Linked DNA regions of Drosophila melanogaster. The protein of the gene in region 2 interacts with the protein of the main gene of each other region in a pairwise test. Each region holds a gene or a part of one and is shown on either strand. Other genes may lie near its edges.

Evidence for each region. Proteins that work in one complex are often made in the same cells at the same time.
Region 1: the proteins of CG17574 (region 2) and GABA-B-R1 interact in a two-hybrid assay, tested with the Drosophila melanogaster proteins (one large-scale study listed by BioGRID).

Annotation. Positions count from the first base shown.
Region 1 is NT_033779.5:15,014,430-15,019,336, reverse strand, and holds the start of GABA-B-R1 (metabotropic GABA-B receptor subtype 1), read right to left. Parts: upstream 3,007-4,907; 5' UTR 1,941-3,006; intron 1-1,940.
Region 2 is NT_033778.4:12,848,842-12,855,442, reverse strand, and holds CG17574 (uncharacterized protein), read left to right. Parts: upstream 1-1,902; 5' UTR 1,903-1,960; coding exon 1,961-2,120; intron 2,121-3,860; exon of another isoform or gene 3,861-3,874; coding exon of another isoform or gene 3,875-3,995; intron 3,996-4,099; exon of another isoform or gene 4,100-4,172; coding exon of another isoform or gene 4,173-4,278; intron 4,279-4,494; exon of another isoform or gene 4,495-4,541; coding exon of another isoform or gene 4,542-4,668; intron 4,669-5,214; coding exon 5,215-5,344; intron 5,345-5,401; coding exon of another isoform or gene 5,402-5,404; coding exon 5,405-5,482; intron 5,483-5,546; coding exon 5,547-5,706; 3' UTR 5,707-6,085; downstream 6,086-6,601. Other genes in the region: CG30486 (uncharacterized protein), read left to right, coding at 6,478-6,600.

The DNA of each region.
Region 1 (4,907 bases), on a different chromosome or scaffold from region 2:
AAATAAATAAGCAGTTTGTATTTTATTTGCTCTTGTTCTTCTTTGTTTTTGTTGTTGGTTGTTGCTGTTCAATTTCTTCTTTTTGTTCAGGGCAAGGGCATTTTGCGCTTCGGCGCCTGAGTTTTATGGCTTTTACCCGCCACGCCCCCGCCCCTTCATCTGTCCGCATCCCCTTTGGCAATGTTCTAAACTCCTGCCAGCAATATTTTTCTATAAAAAAAAAAAAACAGAATAGAACTTTTATGTGGGAGAAGCCTTTTTATCTCTATGTCCTGCGTGTGCGAGGTACTCACATACACACCGATACGTAAAACCATATAGGGCAAAAAAAAAATATAACTTAAAGTATGAATTGTATTATATATTTTACCGTCAGCACGTTTCATAATTTATTACGGTACTAAAATATTTAATTTAAGAGTGCCTTCTCGGTTGTTCTAGACATAATATATCATATTAAAGAGTGGTCTTGATTGAAATCTGCTTGTAAGTGAATATAAAATAGATGGCACATTTTGAAGGCTTTTATAGTTATAAAACCTTAAATCTTAATTAAACAAAGCATAGTTCCCTTTGAAATATATCTTAATTCTGAACATATTTGTATTTAAAATTGATAGAAAACTTAAATGTTTGCACTAACACAAATATATACTGATGCTAATTTGCCAGGATTTATTGATTTAGTGTTTCCTTTCAGTTTCCTTCATAATTAGCCTATTAATCAACTGAACTAACAGTGCGTATACGTATTTTGAGGATTGATTGCTCGACTTTAGTGGGTGATGAATGCGATGCAAGTCAGAAATCAACTAAAGTTTTTTTGTGTTTGAGGATGTAAAAAATACAAAGCCATAATGTGGCGATGCCATTACCGGTTATTTGTGTTGGTTGGATGATGAATGACAGTTTTTCATGCACAAATACGGCGTCTTTTTTAGCATAAAACCTTTTTACAGTGTTTGCATACGAGCCGCGTGTGTTATTGAATGGAAATGCTGTCGGTTTAGCACAAACATGCATACATATATGTATGTATGTACATCGCCGCAGCGTCACTCCAAATTTGTTTGCCAGTTAATCGCACTGAGGCGCGTTAATCATGGCGGTGTGTTAAGGACGAATAAAAGGTGGTGGTGCTGTGGATAATTTTGGTGGCTACGGGGTGGCTCACTTAACTAAGGTGTGGTTGCAGATTTGGCGAGTTGACACCTTTGACGTAGAGTTGCCGCTGAAGAGGCGCTGATGAGAGGGGATGGTCGTCAAGGGGCTAACTTCCTAGTGACCTAGTTTACAAACCTTCGCACACATACACACACACAGACTTTAAACATTAATTACGTCGGGAATTCTGCACAAATGCGACAAATGCTTCACTTCACTTCACTGCCTTCCCACCTGCTCTCTTCATACCTACACAGAACAAAAAGGAGTGATCGTAGATGATGATCGGTTTACTCTTCTCAAAAGCAATATAAAAAAGATATAGATTTCAGATTCTATGAAAGATCTATGCATCTTGTCGGCGAAAAAACAAAAATATATCAAATTTGTATTGAAAAATAATTTTAACAATTTAATTTGAGTTAGAAAGAGTTTTGTGGTACGATCATTGTAATGACCATCAATCCGGGATATCATTTTAACTATTATTTTCCTGTACTACAACCAATAAATATCATATATCATTCTTTCCTTTCTTTCTTTTATTTGTACTTCTCAAATCATTTTGATTTCACTTGGCTTAAAACATACATATATTTCCACTGACCATTCATCACTTGTCCATCTCCTAGAATCTTTGAACCATGAGGGTTTAATTTTTTTTAACATCCCTGGGAATTAGCTGCTCACATTTTTGCAAGTGTATTCTCTCCGCCTCTCTTCGCGGCACTCTACACCTTTCTATTGCCATCTCGCTCACTTTACACTTCACTTACTTTGCGTATTGCCGTTTAAAAATGCGATGTTGCGGTTGTTGTTGTTGTTGTTTCCTGCTTTGCTACTACTGCTTCCTCTTCTTCTCGGCCTCCGTTTTATCCTTTGCCGATGTTTTTGTCTCTGTCTTTGTCTGCTCCTTTGCTCCTTTGGCCGGTGCTTCAATTGTTTCATAAGACGCTTCTTCTTTTTCGCTGCTCCTTTTGCTTGGGCAGGGTCGTAGGGGGTGTTGGATGGAGGGGGTGCTGCCAAAGGGGGTCAGGGGCCAAATCAGTGTTTGTTGTTGATTTGGTTGTTGTTGTTGTTGTTATTGTTGCTATTATCGCTGTCGCGGCGGCGTTGTTCAAACATAATTTGATGACTGCGCATTACAATCGATAATCCCATGCACAAATGCAGCTCAGCACATCGGCATTGCCTTAAATCCATTTTAATGAGAACGGATCCCGATAATTCCGTAATCCCCAAATGATGGCAATTCCTTTGCAGGTCCTGCTGTCACTGCCTTTTTTTGCTGTGCTCTCTCCTCCCTTTTCTTTTTTATTTTTTATATATGTTTGTTGCACTTTCACAAATAATTCGAGAAAAAACTGAGATGTGAGGGGCGTGAGCTTTTTTTTTGTCAACTTTGTTTGAGTTTGCGGTGTGTTCTGTGTAACTGTGCTATATGCTATATGCTATGTATATTACTTTGTACAACTTTTCTACATTACTATATCAGATTTACGTTGAATTCCTTATCAAACTAGTAAGCTTCTGACTATGAGGGGCATGAATTATTAATGTATTCGTTTTATTTCACTTGCTTTCTAGCTGTAACACACTTCACTTTATCAATTCCCGCACCGTAATTCCATTTAACGCGTATTTCTTTTTGCAGGTATTCAGTTCTGCGGGAGTTATATCTTATGCACAGAGTGGTGTTTTCGCTCCTGCTCCTTATTTGTCTATTTTTTGTACAGACTTTTTCGCATTGTATTCGGGGGATGAGACGCGAGAGGCTCCTGCTGTGTTCGTTGTGTTCCACATGTATCCGACGACTGGAACTCCATGACTGACATTTACGTTTTCGCCTCGCCAGGACGAAAGCTTAGAGCACGAGAGCTTTTCGGTGGGAAAGCTCGTGCTTCCGCTTTTCCACTTTTCCAGTTGCCAAGTCAAGTCGGGTTTTTTGAAGTTTCGCTTTTTCAGTTTGCTGGCCAAGTCGAAAGTCGCGAAACTCTCCGGGCAATTACGTTTACTTTGTGGGTGGGTGTAGCGGGGTGTAGGTGGGTGGTAGTTGGACGGTAATTGGGGGTTGGGCGCAAGGACGAGGGCGGGCTTAAGGACACCGGTTTTATAGAGTTGTCAAATGGCCCCAGGAATGGCCAGTCAAAACATCAAAATTCACTCGCAATTGGCCAAGGGCAATGCGAAAAACCAACAACAAGGAGCAAGTGCCACTAGGCCAACCGGGAAACAGGATGGGGGCATTGTTTTGAAAGCGAAAGGCCATAATGCTTGCACGCCACAATCCCGAGCCGCAGTCAAAGCCAAAGTTGAGTTTCATTTTTGGGGTCGCGTCGCCTCATCGAGCCAAACATGCAAACACGCACGGGCCAAAGCCAAAGCCGAAGCCCAAGGAAGGCAAGGTGAGGTCCTTGTCATTTAACTCACTTGTCGAGTTGACCTTTGTTCGCTTGGTTGCCGTGCTCCACCATAGAGCTAATGCCCAACTGCCACGCCTTGAGCTTGATCCATAGCAACTTGTACTTTTGTGTCCCCTCGCAAAACCCCCCCCCAAACCGCTCGACAAAAAAAGGGGAAACCCTGAAATATACAGCTAACCCCCCTTCACCAAACACACTTGGCTCTAAATACAAACTTGCCCCCCCCTGCTGATGGCCATGTGCATGTTTGATGAGCTTATCAAGGCTCCGGGATTATTGAATATTTTCAAATCGATATAGCCGTGCCAGCCACACCGTTAGTTGGCACCTTAATTGCCAACTGAATAAATCATTGACAATTTTGCAATTAGTTCGAGAACCTCAACTGTCCGCTCAAGTCGAAGGATTCTGCGGTCAAAAATAAACCATTTGCATTGGCCCAAAAGTAGTCAAGCCAAGAAATTGGAAGTTTTCCCATCGTCGACTTGGGAAATCAATTACTCAAATATTTATGTCCGCATGTGGAATTCGGGTATGCTGAAATGCACTTGTCTTGAACTCTGCCAGTGAATAAATGGCAATCGAAATTGCTGAGCGGATTAAATAACTTTCAGATGTGTGAATACGAGGGCATGGGTTATGGCCTATATTTGCACTGCCGTATAGGTTACAGAACGCACTTATTGTTTAGATATTTGAATTGATTTCATAGACAGTTAGAGCAGAAACGGCACTAATTAAACCAAATCCACTCAAGAGCAAATTGGTAAACAGCAGTTTGAAAATTAACATTGCGCAATTGTTATGCATTGATAAATTGATGATTTATTTATGAATTTTCTGTATTCCAATGTTATTTTGGCATAGGCCAGCTATTATTTTGAACTCTGATTTTGATTTCTAGTTCACTCTAAATTCACGTTTTAATTACATAAAATTATAAATGTTTTCAGTGAAATATTTAGCGAATTTGCTTTGAATAGAACGTTTATTTTATGTTATGGTAATCTCCTAAAACTATTCAATAAAATGAAAGTTATTATTGAATGGGCGATTTAAAACATTTGCAGGCACAGCTGCAATCAGCAATCAACATGAAATAGTGTGATAATGTTAATTGAAAAGATTGTGGCTTGTTATGGATTTCCATGAAAAGAGAAAAAATGCATAATGTTTTATTGTAAATATATAAATATATTCTGTTAAAATGAAATTATAAGTTTTTTAAAGAATAGTATATTTAAATAAGCATAAGATTACGGAAGTAACTGCTTGACAACCCTTTCATATTGGCATGACATTTGAATTCAATGAGTCTGC
Region 2 (6,601 bases):
CTTCGGGTCTGTGGGGATATGCAAACAGTCTGGACTCTTACAAAAGTCGGCGAGGAATCGAATCCGATTCGCAATAATCGTCGAACCTCTGCGTAATGAACACCGTGGCGTAGTTTCAAGACCCATCGAACTATCCTCAAGACTGCCTGCCGATAGAATCTATTAGTTAGTAAATACCTATTGTTGTGAGTAATTCGATTAGGATGCCGCACGTTCCGAACGACAGGGATCTGGAGATCTCCACCATCATCCTTTGCACCATTTTCGCTGTGGTCCTCTGCGGAGTCGTGGCAATGATCATAGGATACGTGATCCGCAAAAGGAAACAGCGCCTGGCGGGCAAGGATGTGATTGAAGCAAGTTAGTATAGTTCGATGCAGAAATCCTTTGTTGCTGTCCTGTGTTCTTCCCAATTGTCAGATGACGAAGCTCCGTGTGTGAAGTTCCTGTGTCTTGTTTTGTTCAACAAAATGGAGAACGGAGAACAATCTATTTAATTTTTTATGTTTAACTACTTAGTTTCGTTATTTATTACATGGTTGTAACACTACAAGATTGCCGAATCAACTGCTTAATAAATAAGAAAGTTTACAAAAACGACGACATTCAAAGTTTAAGAAAATTACTTTATATATAGTAGCTTTCTTTTCGTAAACAAAAAAAAAGTGGATACACTATTTGCCTTTGCTAAGAACTTAAAATATATGTTTTATTTAATTCTGATGTGAACAGAACATTAAGAACAAGATTTAAAAAAAAAGCGGATGCAGCCACTATAAGTCGTTTACAACATTTAAGCGTACTCAAAAAAATAATGGTACTTTTTAAGAATGTGGTACTGAAAAAATAATTTTATTTTTTTATTGCTTCCATGATTTTAATTTTCTACAAATTTTGGTTAAATATTTTGATTCATTCGGTGCATTAACGCTATGTTGCTGTTTTACTACGTTCTTAGTAATTTAGAAAAGTTTAAAAAACTTCTATTCAAAGGTCATAATTTTTGATATACACATAGAAAAGTAATGAAATCTTTTAAACTTTTTTGAGTGCGGCTTAGTGAGTAATGATTATTCTAATCAAATTTTTAAGCGAATGGTGGTATTTACCTTTTGTATATTATGCGTATGAGTAATTATTTAAAGTGATTTAAGATTTTAGTTTCTTTGCTCCTTTCGTTCGGATCGGTAGGGATTTGGAATTTAGCAAAATTTGACCAATAATGGCAAAATATACTTCAATCGCAGTTTTCTTCAATGTATTGTTTTTGTACTGCATTTACCTCTGCTCGATCGTAAAGTTTCCTTTTTTGTCAGCCTATTATAATTTCAAATAATTCAATCATCTTCGGTGTAATATTGTAGTTCATAGTAGTTGTCACTGCTTTCATTGGGAAATGGAGTGTAATTCTGACTCATAGTGACTAAATCATAAATTTCAAATCGATCGCAAATTTGTTTTTTTTATTGAACTACGTACTTGTTGTGCGTTGTAAATCTTAATAAATGTATTATACATTTGAGACCATTTATGATGTCACATATCAAAGACTCTATAAGCAGATGGAAAGACAAAGAAGACAAGAATTTATATTTATTGGGTATTTTAGCGGCTTCTGGTTGGTTATGCCTAAAAGTACGCTGCAAAAATGTGCGAATGGTTCACTAAATTACTAAAATTAAACAAAGAGCTAAGTAGTACTTGTTTCATCCATACTTGTTAAATACTGAAAATCCAGCTGGTTATATAAGTTTTCTGTATTCTGGATAAATATTTTACACACAGTCTAAACGATAACATGCATATTTTTTTTCGTCCGCTTTTTCTTATCGTAATAAAAAGGGCTTAGTGAATTGAATTTTTTCCCAGATTCAGTCCAAAAAGATCTGAGCTTAGACACACAGTTCGACCAGTTCATTTACTCAGTTCGTTGCAGTCAAACGTGTTTACTAGAAAAAAGATGCCTCCTTTAGAATTCCCACCGCCACCTAAATACGATGCTCCAAGTGTCGATAAACTTCCTGAAGCGGGTGCCAGATTAATAGCAATCATTTTTATGCTTTTTATCTGGGGCTATTGCAAGTGTTGTTGTTCTTGTTGTAAACGCAATAAGACGGAAGGTAAGAGCAATTCTTAACGTATCTGTACGATAAGCCAACTCTCTTATTTCAGCATCTATTAACACTCACAGATAATTGCAGTTTCAGATAGTTATCTTAGTCTATAGGTCGCGTTTGCAGTGCAATCATGAATTTTCTTTTTGTGAATGTTTTCAATTCGAATTCAAATGAAGACGACTTTAGTTTGATTATAGTGTTTGCGATTTTTGTATTGACCATTTGTATTGGGGCCATTTGTATATGCCTACGATTAAAAATTGGAAAGGAGATTAAAAACTGTAAAGGTTGGTAACCCATTATTAAGATACCGTACTTATTATTTTTATGCTGCTGTCTGCTTTAAAAAGAGACACATCTTAATGAATCAAAAATTTCCGCTTTATGTAGTTAGATCAAGTGGCATGTAGTTATTTTATAATTATAATTTTTAATGATAAAATTAACAACATTTTGAAACTATTCTGCGTATTGTCCACTTTGAGTCACTTTGTTCATTATTGCCACATGTAAATAGAGGTAAAAACTCACATGATAGCGGTATCTGCATCTAATACACTGAAAAACTTGTTTTTCTAATTAAATCCATTACTCGAAGACGTCATTCAAAGCGTCTGCATTAGATTTCCTAACTTGATCTTGTAAATTGATAAATATATGATAATAATGGGTATTGCCCAAGGTTTAGTGCTTTTGCTTCCTATCTGCACTGTCAATTTTATTTATGGTTCAAATATTCAAGTCATTGTCTAGAAGAAATTTTGGATTGTGTGCGAATTTAGTTCTTTAGCTAGAAGTAAAGTCTTTTGCATGAGAAATCCGAGTTAATATTAAAAGATGTAAGACATATTTAAGGCTTTTAATTTCCCCTCCAAATACAATTAAAAATAATTTCTTATCCAGTATCCTAAACTTTAAAAGCCTCTGTTGTGAAATAGTCCGGCTATCTTGGTATACTGAGATTTAGGACTTGGTTTGGAGTGGGTAATGACTGGGTGTTATTGTTATATTTGTGCAATATATGCTGATAACAACGACTGTGATTCCCTACTATTTCGGATTCCATTTCCAAATGTGCCACTAAATGCTTCGTTTACGCCTAAACGCAAATCAATAATTAGGTATTAATGGCTAATGGTCATAAAGGATTGAGTGTTGACGTACGTTGATCCCGAAATGCAGGGTAATTCAGAAAATGATTATGAAACCCATTTAGTTAGGTCGCAGGTCCTCACGATGAATGCCACCATATTGGATGTGTTTGAGGACATTTCCCAGCGACTGCACATAAACTGGACATTTCTGGCATACGAAGCTTGTATCCTCACGGTTTTGGTTGCCCTTGTTGTGATATATGCCTTAAATCTTGCTCGAAATCCGGAAGACTTTCGATATTGGAACAATTTGTAAACGTATTCCCGAAATGAATAACGAAACGGAGGTCAGCTCCTTGCTGGAGTCCCAGGAACGCTCTGTGGTTTTCATATCCGTTTTTCGCATAACCTTCAAAATATTCATTTTGGCATTGATCGGCCTGGTTGCACTACATTGGAAGCGTCGTCAGGCTCTCGGTGATTTAAGTAAGTTATGATAATGGTTGAAAGTGTACTGTTATCACTGATAAGTGCTATCTTTATGAGTGTGATTGCCCTTTTCTTTGGCCATTACTGGCACTTTTTCGATTGCCAATCCGGCGGCTTTAGTTTCTCGCTTTTGTTTAGTCTTTGTGCACCGCTTATTCAGTCAGTATCATAATCATGGATGATTCGGGCATCTACTGGATACTTTTCTTCACCTTCTCCGTATTTTTCATGACATCCGCGGCTGTATTTCTGACCCGTGGTCGAACCCGGAGAGCGGCGCTCACCAAGGGTGCAGGTGTGTTTTCGGGGATCACCCGTTTGTGGCGATAACGCGGCCGTCCAATGGGTTTCCAATATCTCCCATTTACACAAAAAAAAAAAAAAAACACAAAAACCCCAATGTCATGAAACAGTTGAAATCGTGAACTCCACGCTGTAGCACCAGTTCAGCGTGTATAGAATAATATTCGCGATGGAGCCGTTTGTTATTCCCATCATAGCAGTCTCAGTCTTCATAGTGATTGCCTCGTTGATGTGCCTCTGCTTCTTTTGCATAGCCAAGAAGTTCAGATCCATGGGTAAATAGCTGCAGCTACGGGAAGAGTTATTTATGTTTTATGATTTATGTAATTTTGAAGCTGTTTCGTACTGCCAATATCAGAGATAAACAAAACCATAATGCAAGTACACCACCCGCTTATCGTATTGGCCATAAAATCGAACATTGATTAGACGCGGTCCGAGTGAGTGGGTTTTGTCAGACATAGGACTTGCAGTCTGTTCTGTGTTCGCCTGGAAAGCGATTGTGTTTTTTCGAGCTAAATTCCCTGACTTATCGAGAATGTGGGCATTCTGGGTTGGATTATCTATAGCCTTTGCCATATTTTTCATTACTTCCTTCGTTGTTTGCATTAGACGCAGGCAGAAAGCAGCGCGAAATGTTGGCTACACAATCAGCGAAGGCGTTGGTAATTACATTGACTGAGCAATGAATGGATTGCCAATTACACTTAAAGAAATAGTGGTGCAGCAAATTTTGTTGAGCCTTATCTTATTTGTCTAAGTGTGAAGTATTTTCTTATTCTTGGTTTTCGATACAGGCAGTATATGTTTTAAAAATATTTTTTATATTAATTATAACACAAAATGTATTTATAGTGCATATAAACGTGACACGGGCTTGTTATTACCCTTTTCTATAAATAAATTGAGTGGATAAGATTAAAAGCTCAAAAAAAAAAAAAAGCACAGAAATTACACCAAAAAAACCCCAAATGAAATTAAAAAAGCAAAATATAATATACATCAAGTTTTTATGACTTACATTAATTTAGATTAATATAATATTGAAAATTTTTTATAGTGCTGAAAGGGGAATTTTTGTTCACACTGATGAGTCTAATCAAAAGTGGGAGCTTATCGAGTCTGCGATTCGCGGTTGGCGATGATTCAGAATCATTGGCGCAGCTATTTTCTGTTTCTAATTTCTTTTTTTCCGTTCTTTCTACTTTCAGCGCCTGTGGTGGTGACCTCCGCCACCCACACGGCTCCCGGCGGATATCCGGTCACACAGCTGCCTCCGCCGGGCTATCCATCGAGCAATGCCTACGTAACTGCGACCTCGTACCCCGTACAGACCACCGGGTAAGTACGGAGCCTAAAGTGCTGCCGCAAACTATTCTAATGTCCCCATTTTCCCAGCAGCAACGTGACTGTGCAGATGCCCATGCCGATGAGCCACCAGAACCAGCAGCAAATGCCAATGCCTATGCCGATGCCGGGGTAAGTGGAAGCTAGTGCTCCAGCGAAACGCAAATATTAATTGATATGCTTTTATCCATTGCAGTCAGCAAACGCATGGCGTGGCGTATCCGACGTATCCTGGCGCCGGGGCTGCCAACATGAATCCGCCGCCGTATGACATGTCCATGGCTAATCCAGGACCTAGTGTTATGCCCGCTGGATATGAGAAGCAAGCTCCCTACAATCCCCACTTTGGCCAGTGAAATCGCACTGTGAACTGAGGATCCCCTTTCCGTCTCGTTATAGCTTTTTTACTCAGCTGAACACTTTACTTTCCATGTTTTCTTGCATAAAAAACTCCAAACTCCTGGTAAAAAACCAAGTGAAAGCGATCGCACAACGAGCCATTTTTATATTCCATGTGATGTATGTAAAGTGTACATATAACTTAAGCGCAACCTTCTATTTATACATCTATATTAAGCAAATCCAAAACGAAAACCAAACTGAACTACATGAAGTGTTAATTGTAATAAACCAGTGAAGTGCACATCAAATGCAACTGAAGCACATTTGTTTCGATGTGCACTTTCACAAAATCACAAAAACAAGAAATGCAAACATGTTTTCAATTACTTCTGCACTCGGATGTTTTTGCCAATGAAAAAGCAGTGGGTAAATGGGTTTCTAAAGATTACTAGTGGATTTACATTCCAATCGAAAGTTTTTATTTATTATTTTCTTAGTTGAGATGCGCAATTATGTTTTATGTTTTTATTACCTTGATTTAATTGAGTCATGCGAAATTCCAATGTTTTACACATATTGTAAATTTTATATCTTAATAATAACCTTCTAGCTTTTTGGATTCCTTGTTGAATATGGCTGTCTGTTGGAAATAAAACTAGTAATAGCTCTATATATTATAGAATTGTCACGCTGCATTTAGGCAGTTACAATGGATTTTACGCTGTATAGATAGATCAGTTTTCTTCAAAATAGTTTTGTATTTTGACTCCAGCAATCGGCACCAGATGTTGTACCTTCTTTCAGTCCTTATAATAGTCCTTATCAGCCAGGAGGCGTTATCTACGGATTACTGCAACAAGGATCTGTGTCTGCCGGAAATAACGCATATCGCTTGCCGCAATTATGGCG